Linked DNA regions of Caenorhabditis elegans. The protein of the gene in region 1 purifies or fractionates together with the protein of each later gene. This does not show direct contact. Each region holds a gene or a part of one and is shown on either strand. Other genes may lie near its edges.

Evidence for each region. The genes of interacting proteins can lie anywhere in the genome.
Region 2: the proteins of Y67A10A.3 (region 1) and C54G4.7 fractionate together in Caenorhabditis elegans (co-fractionation; one large-scale study listed by BioGRID). This does not show direct contact.

The regions. Positions count from the first base shown.
Region 1 is NC_003282.8:14,327,422-14,337,480, forward strand, and holds Y67A10A.3 (uncharacterized protein), read right to left. Parts: upstream 7,039-10,059; 5' UTR 7,032-7,038; coding exon 7,030-7,031; intron 6,982-7,029; coding exon 6,869-6,981; intron 6,500-6,868; exon of another isoform or gene 6,476-6,499; intron 6,414-6,475; coding exon 5,850-6,413; intron 5,723-5,849; coding exon 4,150-5,722; intron 4,103-4,149; coding exon 4,005-4,102; intron 3,958-4,004; coding exon 3,775-3,957; intron 3,721-3,774; coding exon 3,407-3,720; intron 2,712-3,406; exon of another isoform or gene 2,691-2,711; intron 2,456-2,690; coding exon 2,358-2,455; intron 2,312-2,357; coding exon 2,094-2,311; intron 2,035-2,093; coding exon 1,574-2,034; 3' UTR 1,524-1,573; downstream 1-1,523.
Region 2 is NC_003279.8:8,016,530-8,024,391, reverse strand, and holds C54G4.7 (AB hydrolase-1 domain-containing protein), read right to left. Parts: upstream 4,892-7,862; 5' UTR 4,730-4,891; exon of another isoform or gene 4,698-4,729; coding exon of another isoform or gene 4,562-4,697; 5' UTR 4,542-4,561; intron 4,292-4,541; coding exon of another isoform or gene 4,139-4,291; intron 4,096-4,138; coding exon of another isoform or gene 3,992-4,095; intron 3,773-3,991; coding exon of another isoform or gene 3,638-3,772; intron 3,607-3,637; 5' UTR 3,591-3,606; coding exon of another isoform or gene 3,539-3,590; coding exon 3,417-3,538; intron 3,349-3,416; coding exon 3,261-3,348; intron 3,212-3,260; coding exon 3,033-3,211; intron 2,663-3,032; coding exon 1,915-2,662; 3' UTR 1,746-1,914; downstream 1-1,745. Other genes in the region: cyc-1 (Cytochrome c domain-containing protein), read left to right, coding at 1-18, 117-271, 318-417, 469-717, 764-958, 1,012-1,140; dod-18 (Nucleotide PPase), read left to right, coding at 3,525-3,590, 3,638-3,772, 3,992-4,095, 4,139-4,291, 4,562-4,697; rskn-2 (Ribosomal protein S6 kinase), read right to left, coding at 5,321-5,471, 5,775-5,922, 5,974-6,253, 6,500-6,608, 7,137-7,258, 7,431-7,520, 7,580-7,811.

The DNA of each region.
Region 1 (10,059 bases):
CACAAAAAGTGTTGTTGTACAAATAATGTTGGTGAAACGGCAAAAAAACGATTTGCGGGATGATTATGAATCACAACAAAATTCAATACTGCAAGATTAAACTAACATTAAACTAGGTATGGTTCATTGTTTTGGAAAAAATTTTCCAGCTGTACTAAAAGTATCGTGCCTTATTACGCTACAAACGTCTAAAATTTTCCATGGAGGTCTTGACAACATTTTAGCAGTTTTACATGTTTTGTTGGCACTTGTGTAGTAGATTTGTTGCCAATATATTACTTTTCTGATGACGCTTTTTCAATTTTCACACCTAGAAATGATTGTTCCTTAGCCTTAGTCTTAAATTAAAATAGAACTCACTTGTTAAATTTTTAAAGAATTAGAGCACAGCTTCTGTGAAATTACTGTTTCAATACACTCATAAATAAATTAAATTTAAACTTGCACATTACTGTTTTCTTTTTATTTATTTTTTCAATTTCCTAGAAACATTTATTTGTAAATAAGTACATGTGAGAACTGAGGCGTGCAGGTGACTGACAAAGCGAATTCTAGACTACTATGAACATTTTGAAAGTTTTACATTCGCCCACTAACTTTTAAAAACGATGCGCTTCATATGCTAAATTCAAAACAGTATGAGACTTAAAACTTGCTTTGGATTTTTTTTCTGAAACAAAACTTCTCACAAACTTTATTCGAAATTCGTTTTTTAATATAGTGTAATTCACGAGGTTCGTTTCTATTTCCAAACAAGAGGCTCATAAAAAAATAAAATTTAAACTTGCACAGTTGGCTTATCTACACTCAAAATAATAAAACTGCGTGGCGTGTACTGCAGAAAACCTCATATTTAGGCCCCGCCTTTTTCTCGTCCACTCACGGAGAAAAGGCAAAAATTCGGGGACCAACCAATATCAGGCCGCCGACATCCTACGTGTTCCGCGCGCCGCTATGTTTAACTCGCAGCGGGCGGAGACAGTTTGCCGCGCCCACAACGAGTTAAAAATAGCGGCGCGCGGAACCCGTAGGATGTCGGCGGCCTGATATTGGTTGGTCCCCGAATTTTGCCTTTTCCCCGTGAGTGGACGATAAAAAGGCGGGGCCTAAATATTAGGTTTTCTGCAGTACACGCCACGCAGTTTTATTATTTTGAGTGTATGTAGTATAAAAAGTGAGGTAATCGTACTTTTTTGGATAGGTTAATAATTTTTACTATATATGCGCTCATTAAAACAACTAAAAAAAACAGTTAAAAAATAAAACTTTTAAAAAGAAGAGAAAGAGAAAAAACAATGGGAAGTTAACGAAATAGACATTTCTGTGTAAGTAAGTACAGGGGGCGTGCAGGTAGGCGTCCAAAAAGTGCCACTAAAAAGTGAAACTAATTCCATACTGCTATTTTCACTTGTTCTGAATACAGATGCCCAATCGTTTCTAAATAACGAAGCAACACATAAGCTGAGCCCAAAACAGTATGCGACTGTTTTGCTTTGGAATTTTATTTTGAAAAAAAAAAAAAATTCCTCACAAACTTTATTCAGAACGTTCTTTATAATCTAGTGTCCATAATTTACGAGGTTTCATTTTCATTTCCAAGCAAGGTACTTGACTCTGTCCCAGTTGTCACCGTGGTTCCCGTAGCTCCCGTAGTTGTAGTGTTATCCGCCGTATTCCTCTTGTTTTTCTTCTTCTCTTTCTCACTTTTCACCACAGAACTCGCCTCCGCTTTGTGTAGCCCATTCAATTTTTTATTCTTCGCATTCGTTTCCAAAACCTTCTCGGAATTGATTTCAAAAGCCAACAAGAAATGAATCAACTCGTCGGTGCTCAGAATCTCATTGTGCATTTCTTCAAACATTGAATTCTTGTAGTCCCATTCAGTTTTCAAGTAGTCGGCCTCAAAGTGAACAAAAAAGTTTTTCGGGTAGTCCTTGCGATGATAACTTGGTCCCCTGACCCAATTCCATTTGCCATCAAACAAATGCTCCGGTGAAACTCCCAATTCAGTTAGAACATGCTGGAATTGATCCCCTGAAATATTTTCACATTAAAAAAATTTATTTTTCAACATTGAAGTAAGTTGAACTTACATTTTGAACAATTGAAATTCGAATTATACAACGTAACATTCGTACCAAACAGGTATGGAACATTCATTCGATTGAAAAAGTCTTTGATTTGAAGCAAGGTGCCATATTCTTTTCCCTGGAACGTCATTCTTGTCACACGATACTTCTTGTTTCCAGCGATATTTGATGAACTGCTGACACATGCTTTCAACCAACTCTCACTCATAACCATTGCGGCACTGTAAAAGTAAATTTTTCGAGGAAATACCTAAAATCTGAACCTACCAGAACACAATATGGACTTCATTTTCAACAATGTTCCAAACACCTTCCGAATCAGTTTTGACCACGAAATGAGAGAACGGGCGTTCCCAATCATCCATCTGGAACATTTTTTGGATTAGAAAGTGATGGAGATTTGCTGTGTACTAGCTAGATAAATTGCTTAAAAAATTTGGTACAAAGATCTGTATATAATTAGTAAAAAAGTTTGCAAGATTTTGTAAACAATTTGTGAACATATTTTAAAAAGTATTTGAAACATTGCAAGCTTATTAGAAATTTTTTCACAGCGCTTTCTCAAATCTATTAAATCTAGCAACTTTCGCTAAAAACCACTGATCCGAACACAGCAATGAAAAATATGAAAATATAGTTCAAACTCAACAACACCTTGTAAGAATAGTAGTGACAAGATGTCCAGAGCGCTGCTGACATAGCATGAGCTACTACGAGCACAAGGGCAACCAAACGAGAGTGTCCCATGTCGGCTTGATCTACTGAGATCTACAAAAAATGCGGGAGTTGAGACGCAGAGTTCTCAACTGATTTTGCATGGTTAAGAACGTGCCGAACAGGAGTGTGCGGCAAATTTGCCGAATTTGCCGTTTGCCAAGCTCGGCAAATTTCGAAATTTGCCGCACACGTCAAAAATTTGAAAGTACAATTTTGACCAAAACTGTTGATTTTTTCGGCAAAAATTTGGCAAAATGCTCCAAAAAACATCATAAAATATCAAATTTTTCCGAGTTTGTCAAACACCGCAAATTTGCCGAATTTGTCGAATTTTCCGACCTCGGCAAATACTGGAAAAATAGACTTGCCGAATTTGCCGAGCTCGGCAAATTTTGAGATTTGCCGCTCTCCCCTGGTGCTGGCGTCACATTTTTTGGGCAAAAAATTCCCGCATTTTCGGCAGATCAAACCGTAATGGGACAGACTGAAACAACGTGACTTAAAGGCATGCTTCTCGACCAGGCAAATATGAACTATTCATTCAATATTCATCAAAAAACTGTTCCAAGTTTTGAGAAACCCCGCAAAGAATCACTTACCAAATACAAGTACTTCTTACAAAACCCATCATAATGCCCACTTTCCTCGCGAAGATGCTGCTCAACTCTGATATTGTAATCGCCCTGATTCAGTTGCTGAGGTAGAACAATATCAAATGTCTTGCCTTCAAACATCTTGAGCACTTTAATACAATTCTGATGGCCAAGTTTTTCAGCCAACTCCAGCGGTGTCTCTTGATCATGATTGAGAACATCACAGCTTGCACCATACTTGAGAAGCTGTTTTACGTACTCGCCCTGTCCAAGTGAGACGCTTTCGTGTAGCAATGTGTTGGAAGATTTAGAGCTTTGAACTGAAATTATTTCAAATAAATATTATTACGGAAAACCTATAATATATGGAATACCTTTAGCATCGACATATGCACCAGCAGCTAGACTTTTCTTGAACTCGTCAATGTTGTCATTGTGAAGATGCTTGAACGCCGGAATGGCATAACCCGGTTCTTGAAACTCTTGAGGAATGTTTTCAGGAGTAAATGAGAGCAGAACCCACGTCTCCGGATCATTGAGCTGGGTCAAATAGTCAACTGAAAAACAAAATTTTTGTCGTAGGAATATTCAATTCATTTTTTACGTTTTCGAGTGAAGCGTTTGAGTAGAAAGTGCAAAACGAAGAAAATTATCACAGGAACAAGTAGGAATATTGAAACGGCAATAATTATATAGACCAGTCTAAAAAAAACTTTGTTTTAATTAAAAGAAACCAATTTCAAGCTCACCCTCCCGATTGTCCCTCATCTCCATCGTCGTGATTGGAAACCAAATTTGATGCATTGGTTTGCATTGGATGCGATGGTTTGTTTAGTTTCTGATTTCTAACCGGGAACATCTCTTGGAAATACTGTAGGATTTGAGGCAATGAATTGTAAGCTTTCACAATTGCTACATCATATTTGGCAAAGTCCGACGCGTCAATCGGAACTCCTTTGATCTCGAAAATCTTCTTGAACAATTCCCCAACGTCCTTGAGATGCTTATCATTTCTTTGATCTTTTGCATACTTTTCCAGCTTTTTCAAATCATCCACCAACTTTATCATTCCATCCCGATTCACTTTTGTCCACGAACTTTTATAAACAGGCACACCACTTATCAAATTGTTCACATCGTCTGCCGAACTTGCCGCTGCTGACACGATTTCACTCTTCTCATAGACTTCAGACATCTTCCTCAGAACAATGACACCGTTTGCAAAATCAAGAACCAATGATCGTGAAATTGGAGAAACTGACAAGTTGTTTTGTGCAGCTCGTCGTTGCTTTGCTTTTTGTGTTTTCTTGGTGTTCACCTGCTCAACTGCAGCTACAAAATCATTTTTCAGTTTCTCGAGCAATCTTAGAATTCCTGGGATTTCTTGTAAAGCGCCGGTGTCAATTTTCCGAGCTTTGTTGATAAATTCAAGTAAATTGACAACAATCGAAGATCCGTTATAGCCGACGTTGGCAAATTTTTTTGAGACAGTTTCCAGTCCAGAGTTTTTCAAACTTTTTTGAAAATGGTCCAAAGACTCCTTTTGGATTGTTTTACCAACAATTTCATTCACCTTATCTTCCAAATCAGTTGGCAACTTTGTCGCAAAAAAATGAGTAATATTCCACAGTTCTATAAAACCCACGGTTTTTCGTATCTTCCTCACTCTATCCAAGATCTGCGTGTCGTTTAAATTATCCACAGCGTTTCCAGCAGCGTTATTAATTGAAACTACTATAGCTTTCAAATCGTCCCGTGTTATGTTATAGCATTCAAGTTCAGCCAAAAAACCTTTCAGACTTTCAACTCGATCGCTAATATCCTCGAAAGATTTTTTCAACTCATAGAACTTATCGAAATCTTTGAGAGCATCATCATCTGGAATGTCCTTCAATTCATTAACAATATCGTTGATAGATTTTGTCCTTTTCTCTATGTCGGAAATCCCTGCCAAATGTTTATTTAAATCACAAAAATTCCCGAGTTGAAAGATCAAAGCATCAGTTAATGGCATACGTGTTGTGGAAGCATTCCTCATATCGTCCCAACTTGAGCTCAAATTTTTAAGTTCGTTAGGAAGCTGATGTATAAGTTCCAAATGTTTGGAGAGTTCACTCATACTCTTCTGACTCGCAAGCTTTTCTTTCAACCATGTTCCACTGAGGTCATCTTTGATCTGAGCAAGATCCTCAATTCCTTTTGGAAATCCGACGTAATTCAACGTTGCCGTTTCTCTTCTCGATACCAAAGAATGAATGATTTGACGAGTACTTGAGAGTTGGGCAGTCATCTCAGCATACGCAGAATTTTTCTTAATAATATCTAGAAGTACTCTTGAATTATTCATCATCAGTTGTGGATGCCAAATGTTTAAAATCGGCAAAGTATTTTCTATAGTCTTTTACAAACAGAAAATTTTGATAGATGGGTTCAAGTTTTTTGTGCACACCTTTCAACTTCAATACGTCAACTGCAACTCTGTCCAAATCAAACATATTGAAAAGTTGTGAATGAAAAGTATCGTAGAGTGACTGAAACTCTTTCAGAGAGTCAGATACAGTTTTCGAAGGAGTAGTGCTCAACGTCTCTTTAATTGACGTCAAAACACGAAACATTGGCTGAAAAGTTGTTGCCTTCAAATTTAAATCCTTTGGTAACATTTCTATAAGAAGCAACGAGTTATCAGTGACATTAGCAAGATTATTGAAACGCTGAATTATTGAGGAAAGTGTCTCAAACTGATCTCTAGTCACTGAAGCGTTAATTGCATTCTCCGCAAGCTTGCTTACGTGATCAACTGTGAAGGAAACGAGTTTGGATGTACTCTTGACATGAACATCGGTTGCAATCACTCGTTCAATAGCCTTTCCATTCGGAATATTAAAAAGATCGGCGATCGTTTCAGTGGCAACAAGAGAGCCATCGGTGAGCAATTGTTGAAGTAGTATGCCATTCAAGAGCCGCGCAAGTGACGAGAAGTCGTCGGTCATTTGTTGAAGGGATGAAGAAGAACCTGAAAAATTCATTTGAGAATTTATAATTTTTTTTTAAAATTGAGCGTGTTGTTTCATATTGAAACTTTTGATCTCGTCGAAAATATCATTTCTTATCATTTGTTGGTTTTTTTCAAACGATTACGAAATAGTCAAAAATTTGAAAACCACGCATTGATGATTTTTCATTCAAAATTGACATCTTTGAAAGACTTGCAGCTATGAGAAAAGTACGGTTCAGCGGTACATACGGTTGGTAGGCAACAACCAAAATGGGCAGGTAGGTAGGCGTAGGCATGAAAGAAGGTGACAGTAACTAAACCGCGTCTAGCTAGCAGCGATCTTCGCACGCATTACACCTTCTTTGTAGTGTGTTGTGGAACCCAAAAATCGTCGGCTGCTGCGAAAGACTCTAGACTTCAGAGAACCCGCGCATGCCTCACATGGAAGTTTTAACTCCAACCATTCCGCCTACCTTGTCCAGTGTCTCTTTCCGAACGTGCGACGTTTTTAATCGTTTCCAGTGTATTTGAACAATTGAATGCCAACGATATCAAGAATATCATAGAAACGATTCTTATAGATAACCTGAAAAAAATTGGTTGTTGCCAAAGTATCCGGAAAATTGAAACTCACATTTTAATATCAAGCTTATCGATATGAATTTGTTATCCACAACAGCGTTGAATCGGGAAATAAATGAATAATCATCAAAAGTGTGGAGAGGTCCCCCGAGAGTTGAATGACGTGGTTTTAGATTTTTGGAACTGATAAATAAATAAGCGGCCACGTAAATATATAAAGTAAGGACTTTTTTAAAATTTAAATCTTGAAAATGTTGTTTTGTTTTTGACGTGAATTTCTGCTGACGTGCTAACGTTTGCAAGTTTGTCTCTGTGCCACCGCACCTTGTGTCGGATTTTAATGGAAATGCTTTCAACGTTTTATTAGGAGTGTTTTGCTTCCCTATCTGCAGAAACACCTTATGCATATAAAAATCCAAAGTTTAAAATGCATGAAAAACCTATTAAAAAATTAAGAACAAAATATGAAAAGTTGAAAAATCGGCACAGCGACTGCAATTCAAAATTTTGCCGAATTCCTACTTTTTCCGCAAAGTATCAGTTTCGTTAGATTTTCCTTTTTCCTTTTTCGCTATTCCTTTTTCGTGACCCGGTAGATGCCGGTCGCTATAAAACAGTACTCGATTTTCAGCAAATTTTAAGTAAATTCTCGACTGTTTTACTATCGTAGTAATAGTGCACCATGACTATGTAATTTCGATGAGTTTATTTGCACTAAAGTTTCATGCATGACAAGCACATAATTTTACAAAAAAGCTCTAGATTGTGCATTTCTTCACTATCATTCATATCTTCTATCAATTCCCTGAAGTTCTCGAAGTTGGGGTCCCCGACTCGATCTTCGAGGTGGGGTTTTCCACAGATCCATTCGAAGCTTCACTCGATCTAACTTCAGAACCACTCATCTCCAAATCGGTTTCCTCCCCTGACTTTGTCTTATCCTTCCATGTAGCATTGTTTCTACCCTTTGCTTCATACTTCAAAACGCGTTTCGTGGTGATTTTAAAACGAAGCAAAAAGTGAGTAAATTTATCCGTGTCCATAAAACAGAAGAGTGGATCAGTCAACCATCTATCCTTGAAACTCGCTTTAACTTGATGTCTATCTTCTGGACGCGACAGGACAAAGTTTCTCGGCATATCATCTCTGTGGTACGAGCTTCCTTGTTTCGGGCACAAAGCCGGAAACTCACCAACACCATCGAATACTCCAAGTTGAGCAACAACCTTGCGAAATGTGATCCCTGAAATCATTTTTGAGACATTTTTGAGACAACTAGTAATAATTAAAACTTACAATCCTAAAACAGTACATGATTGTTATACGAAACTCCAATATCGAACAAAAACGGAACATTCATTCGATTGATGAAATTTTTGATAGCAACCACAGTTTCATACACTTTTCCTTGGAATCTCATCTTTGTCACGCGGAATTTCTTATTGTCAGTGATGTGAGCAGAATTGTTTAGACACGCCTTCAACCAACGATGTCCCATGAGCATAGATGCGCTGAAGGAAATATGTTAGAAAAATAAGAAGGCGAGAAGCGCCCGACACCTCGCGAGTGTTGCTATCAATCGGCAGCAAGCGGCGGGCATGCTAACTTCTTAGGAGCTTAGCAATCTAACATTGAATTAGTGTTTTCTATTAGCTTATCTGAAAATTCAAACCTTTACAATACAATATCACACATGAAAGGTCGATTGCTTATTAATACTAACTGGGAAACAGAAATAATTAGCTTAAGGCGCTTTTTTAAAATTTTAAATAACCCTTTCTTACTTGAAAATATGCGGAAGATGATGCTCCTTGACATTCAAAACATTGTTCTTGTCAGTTTTCACGATGAAATGAGTGGCTCTCTTGTCATTTGGAACTCTCTGAAACGGTTATCAATAGCTTCCAAAAGAACACCCGTTAACTCACAAATTGCGGATATTTTTCGAAAAAATCGCCGTGATAATGTTCTTCAAGTGGAATCGATTTGTCAACATCCAAGAGATAGTTGTACTTTGACAGCGGATCCGGCTCTGTAGCCTCGTTTTTGCATTTTGACGTAAATTTACAAATGTCAATTTTTCTAATTTTCATCAATTTGTTGAAAATTAAATTAAAGGTGGACTACGCTCTGTGGAGAAATTGCTTTAAAACACGCCTCGGGGCTACAATGACCGAATATCATTATGAAAAAATTCAAAAATTTTTTCTAGATTTATATGATTTTTTGAAAATTGGAAAAATCTCAGTTTTCAACTAATTATTTTTGAGTTTCCGCCAATTGGATTTGTTCGGTGGAGCGCACTTGCATTATTCTTAATAATTAATTTTATTTATTCTCGTTATTTAACTGATTTTCTTCATTTTCTATGGTTTTTTCTCGGAAAATGAAAGAAATAAACAAAATGAATGTAAAATGTTTGTTAAAAAGTAATTGAAAATGAGTAAAACTGTGAAATATACTTTTTTTTATTTTTAATTACTTTTTAACAAACATTTTGCGTCTTGCGTCTTGTTTATTTCTTTCATTTTCCGAGAAAAAAACATAGAAAATGAAGAAAATCAGTCAAATAACGAGAATAAATAAAATAAATAAATAAAAATAATGCAAGCACGCTCCACCGAACAAATCCAATTGGCGGAAATTCAAAAATAATTAGGGAAAAACTGTGATTTTTCCAATTTTCAGAAAATCATATAAAATCTAGAAAATTTTTTCGAATTTTTTCATCATGATATTCGGTCATTGTGGCCCCATAGGCGTGTTTTAAAGCAATTTCCCCACTGAGCGTAGTCCACCTTTAAGAAAGAACAAAAAAGTTTAGCTATGTTTTAGCATAAGGCGCGCATTAAGGCGAGAGGCAGGCGGAGATTGGCTCAAGGTCAGGCAGATAGGCGTTTTACGCCTTCGTGGAAACTCTAAAATACAAAGAAATTCCAAATTATTTCACCTAACATTATAGATTTTTTTCCTTTTTTCTGTAAACACCATAAAGAAAGGGAACTGCACACCTGATCTGAAAAATTGAGAAATTGGACCAATTGATAATAGGTGCTACTCTCCCATATATCTTGAATACCTG
Region 2 (7,862 bases), on another chromosome or scaffold:
GTGGTTCAAGGATCTAAAGTAAGTTTTATGTCCTTTCTATTCAAAAACTCCAATTATTATTAGAAGACAATAATTTATGTTGAAATAAACAGTGAATTAATTATCGTATTTTTCAGCGTGGATTGGCGGCCCTTGCCGGAGTCACAGCCGCTTCAGGCATGGGACTCGTTTACGCTTTGGAGAACTCGGTCAGCGCTAGCGGAGACAACGTTCACCCGTACGCTTTACCATGGGCTCACAGCGGACCGTTCTCTTCATTCGACATTGCTTCGTAGGTTCAATTGAGTTTGGATAATGATAAATCGTTCATGTTTCAGTGTACGACGTGGATACGAAGTATACAAGCAAGTGTGCGCAGCTTGCCACTCGATGAAATTCTTGCATTACCGTCATTTCGTTGACACAATCATGACTGAGGTAATTTGAATAAAATAATAACTTCATGCTAATCACGACTTTTTTTTAAAGGAAGAAGCTAAAGCCGAGGCCGCTGACGCTCTTATTAATGATGTTGACGATAAGGGAGCATCCATTCAGCGCCCAGGAATGCTGACCGATAAGTTGCCAAACCCATATCCAAACAAGAAGGCCGCAGCGGCTGCCAACAACGGAGCTGCTCCACCAGATTTGTCATTGATGGCTCTTGCTAGACACGGAGGAGATGATTACGTTTTCTCTCTTCTTACTGGATATCTTGAGGCTCCAGCTGGAGTGAAGGTATTTCGTGCACACAATTGAAAGGAATTAGTGAAACATTTTTCAGGTTGATGACGGAAAAGCTTACAATCCATACTTCCCAGGAGGTATCATCTCTATGCCACAACAATTGTTCGACGAAGGAATTGAGTACAAGGACGGAACACCAGCAACAATGTCTCAACAAGCTAAGGATGTTTCTGCATTCATGCACTGGGCCGCAGAGCCATTCCATGACACCAGAAAGAAGTGGGCTCTTAAGGTAATTCATTTTAGAAAATATTATATACAAGTGAATAAACTTTAATAATTTAGATCGCTGCTCTGATTCCATTTGTGGCTGTTGTGCTGATCTACGGAAAGAGACATATCTGGTCATTCACGAAGTCGCAGAAATTCTTGTTCAAGACGGTCAAGGGAAGAGAGCCACCAAAGGCTCAGTAATCACCAGCTTTCCGCTATTTTTTCATTATCCTCTTCATTCGTCCGCAATTTCCATCAGCGATCATTTGCTCGCAATTTCATAAAATATTGTGAGATTAATCGTTTGTAAATTTAATGAAATTGCGAGTATTTGTAACCCTCCTCTCCTAGTTCATTTTTTCACAGCCTCCATCCCCTCAAAAAAAAAGAACGCGCTCTCCCTCGATCCGACCGTCGTAGTCACCAAAATTTTCAAATTGGGGACGACGTCGGGAGCCGTTTAGAAAAATTTAGTTGTCGCCGTTGTTTGTTAATTGTGAAAATAAAATGGAGAGTTTAGTATGAGTATTTTTCCATTTTCTGAGAGTTTTTGCTGTATTCGAAATAGTCAGACTCCTTTTTAAACTAAAAAGCTCACGAACTTTTTCGATGCATCATTACTTTCTCGAATATTTTTTTTATATAGGAAATCTCTTATCCGTTTTTTTTTCTCTGTAACCACGTTTTTATACCTTCTTTTCTTTTCCAATAAACCAAATAATGGTAAAACGTCGACATTTATTTTTAGTGTGGAGACGAATAAAGTTTTAAATTATAAATCGCATATGGAGATCATGTTTGTAGAATTTGGTTGAAAAATGTTCATTACCGACATAGTTCTATTTTATGAAAAGGCACACTGAGAAAGAGAAACCGGTAATGTCAAAATAGAGACAATCTCAAATTTGGCTATGGGAGTTCTAGTATCACAAGAAGAAACGGAAAATCAAAATTCTAGTAAAAATGCAAATTATTTTAAATTGTTTTCTGCTGTTGCCGTCTGAGCAATTCGGTTATTCTTCGACGCCAAAGATCATGTTTCGATAGATATGCTGTAACATGTCCATATCCTTCCATCATTTCAACAGTTACATTAGGCCATAATTGTTGATATGTTGGTGTCCCTTGATTTCGCAGTACATATTGATCCTGATCAGCCAAGAATACATGGCATAGTGATGTGTCTATTGGTGTTGGATAGAATTCAAGACTTGTGAAGTCATCCATCAAAATTCTCATCATATTCTTGGCTTCTGAATCACCGTTTCTCGCAGTCATCTCTCGCATTTTATCCAGCCAATTTTGATTCGGAATTCTTCGGATTTTATCAACATAGTGAGGATCTTCGAGCTGTTTCTGCAGTAAAGAATAATTAACAGCTGGAGAAATAGCTCCTTCCGTATATGATGGTGATGCTGTCGTCCATGCAAGAATAGGAACTATTGATATTGGACGTTGCGAATTTGATCCAGCAAGTTGAGCCATAAATCCACCCATCGAGACACCAGAAATTGCAAATGGACCATATCCAAGTGTCTCAGACCAATTGAAAAGATGATTACATTCTGCAATTAAAGCGGCACCCATCACAAAAAGATCCGTCACATTTTCAAGAGAAGAACGGAATTGATTCGGTGGTTTTCGATCTCCATAAAATGGATTTTGAATTAAAATAGATCCCACACCATCCTTAAGCATGTCATCAACAAGAAGATAGTGACGTCTGAAATAATAGTGATCTATGATACCAGTTTTGATTTTTTTGCATTTTTTCGAAATTTTTGTGGTCTCTGATAAGAATCATTATTCGATTTATGCATCTATGTAAGATGCGATACTTTTTATCTCAGTTTTTGAGTTTTTTTCTCTTTTTAGATTAAATATGTATTATTCAGACGCAAACTTTTTCGATCTTTGTGACAAAAATACGGTATCCGGTCTCGACACGATGAATTTTGTTAAATGCAAAAAGGTGTGCGCCTTTAAAGGAAACTGTAAGTTAAAAACTCTGCAGCGAGTTTTAAAGTACAAAAAAATTTGTCGTGCCGAGACCAGGTACCGTATTTTTTAAAATAAATTTTCAATTTTCTTACCTAAAATAAGAGTGATCTCCGGTGCCTGCCAAATGTATGCATACGGGGCCTGGTTTCTGAGGAAGATATGCTCTGAAATGTGCTCGACCGACGTTTCCTGGCATATGATTGGGAAAGAGAGTGGCATGAGGACTTGCGAAAAATCCCTCGTATGAAGTTACGCCATTTTTTGAATATTTCTGAGAATTATTTATTATTGAAAAATGTTTTTGAGAAATTAAAATTTACCTTCACAATGTCGATTTTGGGATTAAGTTCTTTCACATAATCCATCACAAGCCTCTTTGACATGACATCTCTGCGATATTTTGCCATTCTAAAATAATAATAACAATAATTAATTATCTATTAGTTTCTCAATTTCTCAATTAAAACAAAACGTACTGTTTAATTACATCCGGATGTCCCCAACTTTTTGTGAATAATTGACTGAGCACAAGAGCCGATCGAAATTTCAGATCCACGTGTTTCGCCCACGACGGCAAGTTCGGAATGAAAGAAGCCATTATTGTATTGGCAAGTCAGTCACCAAATCGACTCAAATTGTTGCAGCAAATTGTGAGAAAATGAGAATCTACAAAAAGAAAGATTTATTTCGGTTTCAGGGATTGGAAAATGTAATCGTAAAAGTTTCAAATTTCGAGGAAAATCTACCAAAAACATTGCCAGTTAAGCAGTTTGTCATTGAAACAGCTAAAGGAAAATTGACGACTATTGTGGAAGAAATGAAAAGAAAAGAGGTATAGTTATTTTTTCAGTAACTTGAGAATATAGTTATTAGTTGAAAAACAAATCGGAATTCAACAAAAAAAATACGGCAACATTTCTCGACGCGACCTAAAACTTTTTGCGCAAAATTTCAGAGTGCTGCAGCATATCGAGACCTGCTACCATATTTTTAAAATCTAAAATTGAAATTATAAAAACTGAGATATTATATTAATATATGAATTATTAAGGAGCCGTACTCTGTTATTATTGCGTGTGATACAGTAATCGAATTCAATGGAGAAATTATTGGAAAACCAACAGATGCCAATGACGCTAAAGAAACTTTGAAAAGGTAATTAAATTTTCAACATCATAATTGTATAAATTAATTTCAGACTTCGTAACAATACTCATAATGTATATACTGGAATGGCTCTACACTATCATGAAACTGATCAATATGAAGAGATCATCGAGAAAACAATTGTTCATTTTGGAGATATTCCTGATAGAGTTATCGACGAATATGTAAAAAGCGGAGAGCCATTGTTAGTTTTTTTTAGCAAAAAAAAGTTATGGAAATATTTATTGATTGAAAGTTATCAAAATTTTTGGAATTGAATTTCTTATCTAAAGTCATAAAAATGAAAGAAAAATTGGCGGTCAAGAAATTTTGAACATTTTATGAGTATTTGAAAGAGCTGCAAAACTTGAGGGATTTTTAAAATTTTCATCACGTTTTTCATCATTTTCATCACGACATTTGAAAACTCCAATAAAAAAACACGAATAACTGACCTAGTAAATCGAAATTTCAGGAAAAAAGCAGGTTCATATGGAATCGGTGACTTTGGCGCTGTCTTCGTTCGTGGAATCGAAGGATGTATGCCGAATGTGGTTGGTTTGCCACTTCACCGTCTTCACCAAGCTCTTATCGCTAAAAATATTCTCTAAAATGCTTTCACTTCCATATTTTATTTTCTCACATTACATCAGGTTTTCACGTTGATGCTTCAATCGATATTATGATTCGGAGCTTTCAAACCTTCTCCAAAATAAATATGTAAAACGAATTACTTAATTTTATTAATCTTTCAAAAAGTCGATTGGCAAGTCAATCATGCTCATCGCAAAACATGGAAGAATTTCTGGAAATGGTTCAAGAGTTCAGGGAGTCACTGGAGACAATGAAAAGATTACATGGGGATAGGTGGATGAATAAAGATATGTGTATCTAACAAAATGATTATAAAAAATTAGAAATTTACATGAGACTAGATATAATAACATAAAATGAAATGCACGAATCACAATATTTTTCAAAATTGGTAGAGGATTGACTAGAAATGCGAAATATCTAACAAATGACAATCACTACAGGTTCAATGAACATTTCAGCAACTGTACTCATAGAGAAGGCAATGCCACAAGTGTCAGGTGACGGAAAATTTGTAAAATAGTGAGAATAATGAGAGAGTACAGACTAGAAAGCATCTAGGACGAAAGAATCACAACGCAAACAGTGAGAGAAACAGGAACAGAAAGGAAGAAAAATTAAAAGAAACAAAGAAAAAGGTCTAGGAGGAGTCTGAGCCACGAGTTTCTCGGATTGTTCCAGAATTTGGTTCTCGATAGTTCATCATTCCCAAATTGCTTGGACGGGATGTTGATGATGTCATCTCTGCTTCTTGTTCTTCCGGAAGACACTCGAATTGGGTAACTCGCGAACTGGAAAATGACATAAATTGTTGAAAATGAAAGTATATTTTCAGAAACGAAAATGTTCACAATGCGATCAAAATTAGAAGTATCATATTTTTTTAGAAAATAATTATTATTAATAATTTCATAAATATAATATTTGAATAGACGTTCTAAATAGTATAAAATAAGGAATTTACAATTATTTGCAAACTTAAAAACTAAAAAATAAAATTTTAGAGAAATGTCGTCAAATGTGGTGTTTCTTGTGCACTTTGAAACCGTACCCCAAATTGGAGGAGTTTCAAATATTAGGGTTCTTGAACTCACTTTTTCGAGTTTCCAGAAGCATCCTTGTCCCCAGATTGTCTTTTGATTCCGCGTCGTTTCATGAGAGGAGCAGCAGCAACATCGAGAAGATGGAATCCATCACGATTAGCGTGGAGGAATGCGCGCAGTGTCTCATTGAATGTTTCATCTGAAAAGTCAAAAGATTAGGTTATTCAATTTTCAATAACATCAGTTTAACTACCTGCTGATGATGGCAGAATACTAGGAGTTTGAAGTGGTGTATCCATTGAAGCCGAAGACTTGAGCCACATATGAGCTGTAAGCTCTTGCATTGAAAGACGTTTCTTTGGATCCACAGTAAGAAGACCGGTTATTAAATTCTTAGCATCTGCTGACACGTTTGTCCATGCGTCTCCTGTGAATGAGAATTCTGCTCTACAAATTCTCTGCATTATTTCAGTTGCCGATTCTTGACGAGAACGTGCATGGAATGGAACTTGACCCGATAGCATTGTGAACTGAAAAATTTATTCGTAGAAAATGTGCCACACAATTTAAAATATTTCTTATGAATTTCTAATAACCAGGGTTCTCAATGCGTCCAAAAAATTTTTCACGATGTGGTACTGTAGTTGCATGCTTCCATTTCGTGATTTTTATCGATTATCAATCGTTTCTTAAATTTGAGGGGTCTTTTTGTTTTTTCTCAAAATTTTTACTTCGATTTTTGAAACATTAAATTATTACAAAATTATACAACTAACCAGTACAACTCCAAGTGACCATAAATCACATTGTTCGTTGTATTCTGGTTGAGAATCTCCAACATCTAAAACTTCTGGAGCAGCATACTGTAGTGTGAAGCAGGGGGTCCTGTAATTATGATTGAAGAATTTCATAGTGAGAGTTAGGCAAATATATAGAAGCTATTAGTGAAAACAAACGTTATTCAAAGATGAATTGGGCATTCTCTAACTCTCAAGTTTACAGAAAATTTGAGAAACTTAATGTGAGTGTTTGTGAATTGTTAGTAAACAGCTTTGTCTTGAAAATCAAGTGAGAGTCAGAGAATGAGTGTGTTTCTTCAAAAATCTCTGAAATCAAGAAAGAAACCCTTAGTAGAGATAAGTGAAAAGAAAGGTTTAAAAGGATAGAAAAAGAAGATAATCTGTAACAAGAATGCACGAAACATCACACACCACCGTCTTCCTCTCTACCAAAAGTAACTTTTTTCGAACATTTGTTCTTTTAAATTTTCAGCTTGAGACACATGCTCCCAGTTAAGAAAAAAAAACAAAAATATGCCCAATAATGAGTGAAAAAAGACAAAACACAATAACTTTTGACTAGACTAAATGTTACTCCGAGTGGAGTGAATGATTGTGTGCGATGAGACCGTACATCTTGCGCAGAACTTGAACAGACTTCAGTTGTTGTTCCATTGAATTTGGAAGTAGACGTGCAAATCCAAAATCGACTAGACGAAGGCGGGCACTTGAATCGATACTTTCAAATAGAATATTCTGGAATAAGAATAACTGTGCCCGTTTTTTTAAAAATTGCGTCATAATTTTCTAACTACTCGAGTATACTCCACCTTTAATTATTAATTTGTTTCACTTTTTGGAAGTATTTTATTCTTATGTTTTGTATTATTTTGCAGCCACTTAACATAATCTGATCATTGAAACTCACCTCTGGTTTCAAATCTCGATGAACAATTCTTTTATCATGAAGATATTTCACAGCTGATACCAACTGCCGCATGATGTCTGCTGCTTCACTCTAAAAATTTAATTTTCAGAGTAACTCCGAATTAAAGAAATGCTTAAAAGAATTCTAACCTCTGTAAATCGTTCCAATTTTCGAATTCTCTCGAGCAGCTCATTTCCAGTCAGAATCTCCATGACGAGATAAAAATGAAGAGGATCCGAATGTACATCATGAAGTTGAACAATATTCGGATGTCCTTGAACCATTTCAAGAATTCGTGCTTCACGTTGAGCCTGACTTGCGAACTTTTGTGATACGATTTTGACTGCAAACTGGGCTCCGTCAACTACGCGTTCGCATCGTCTGAATTTGTATATTTTATCTTTAAAACTATGTAAAAATAACGTTTTGTTG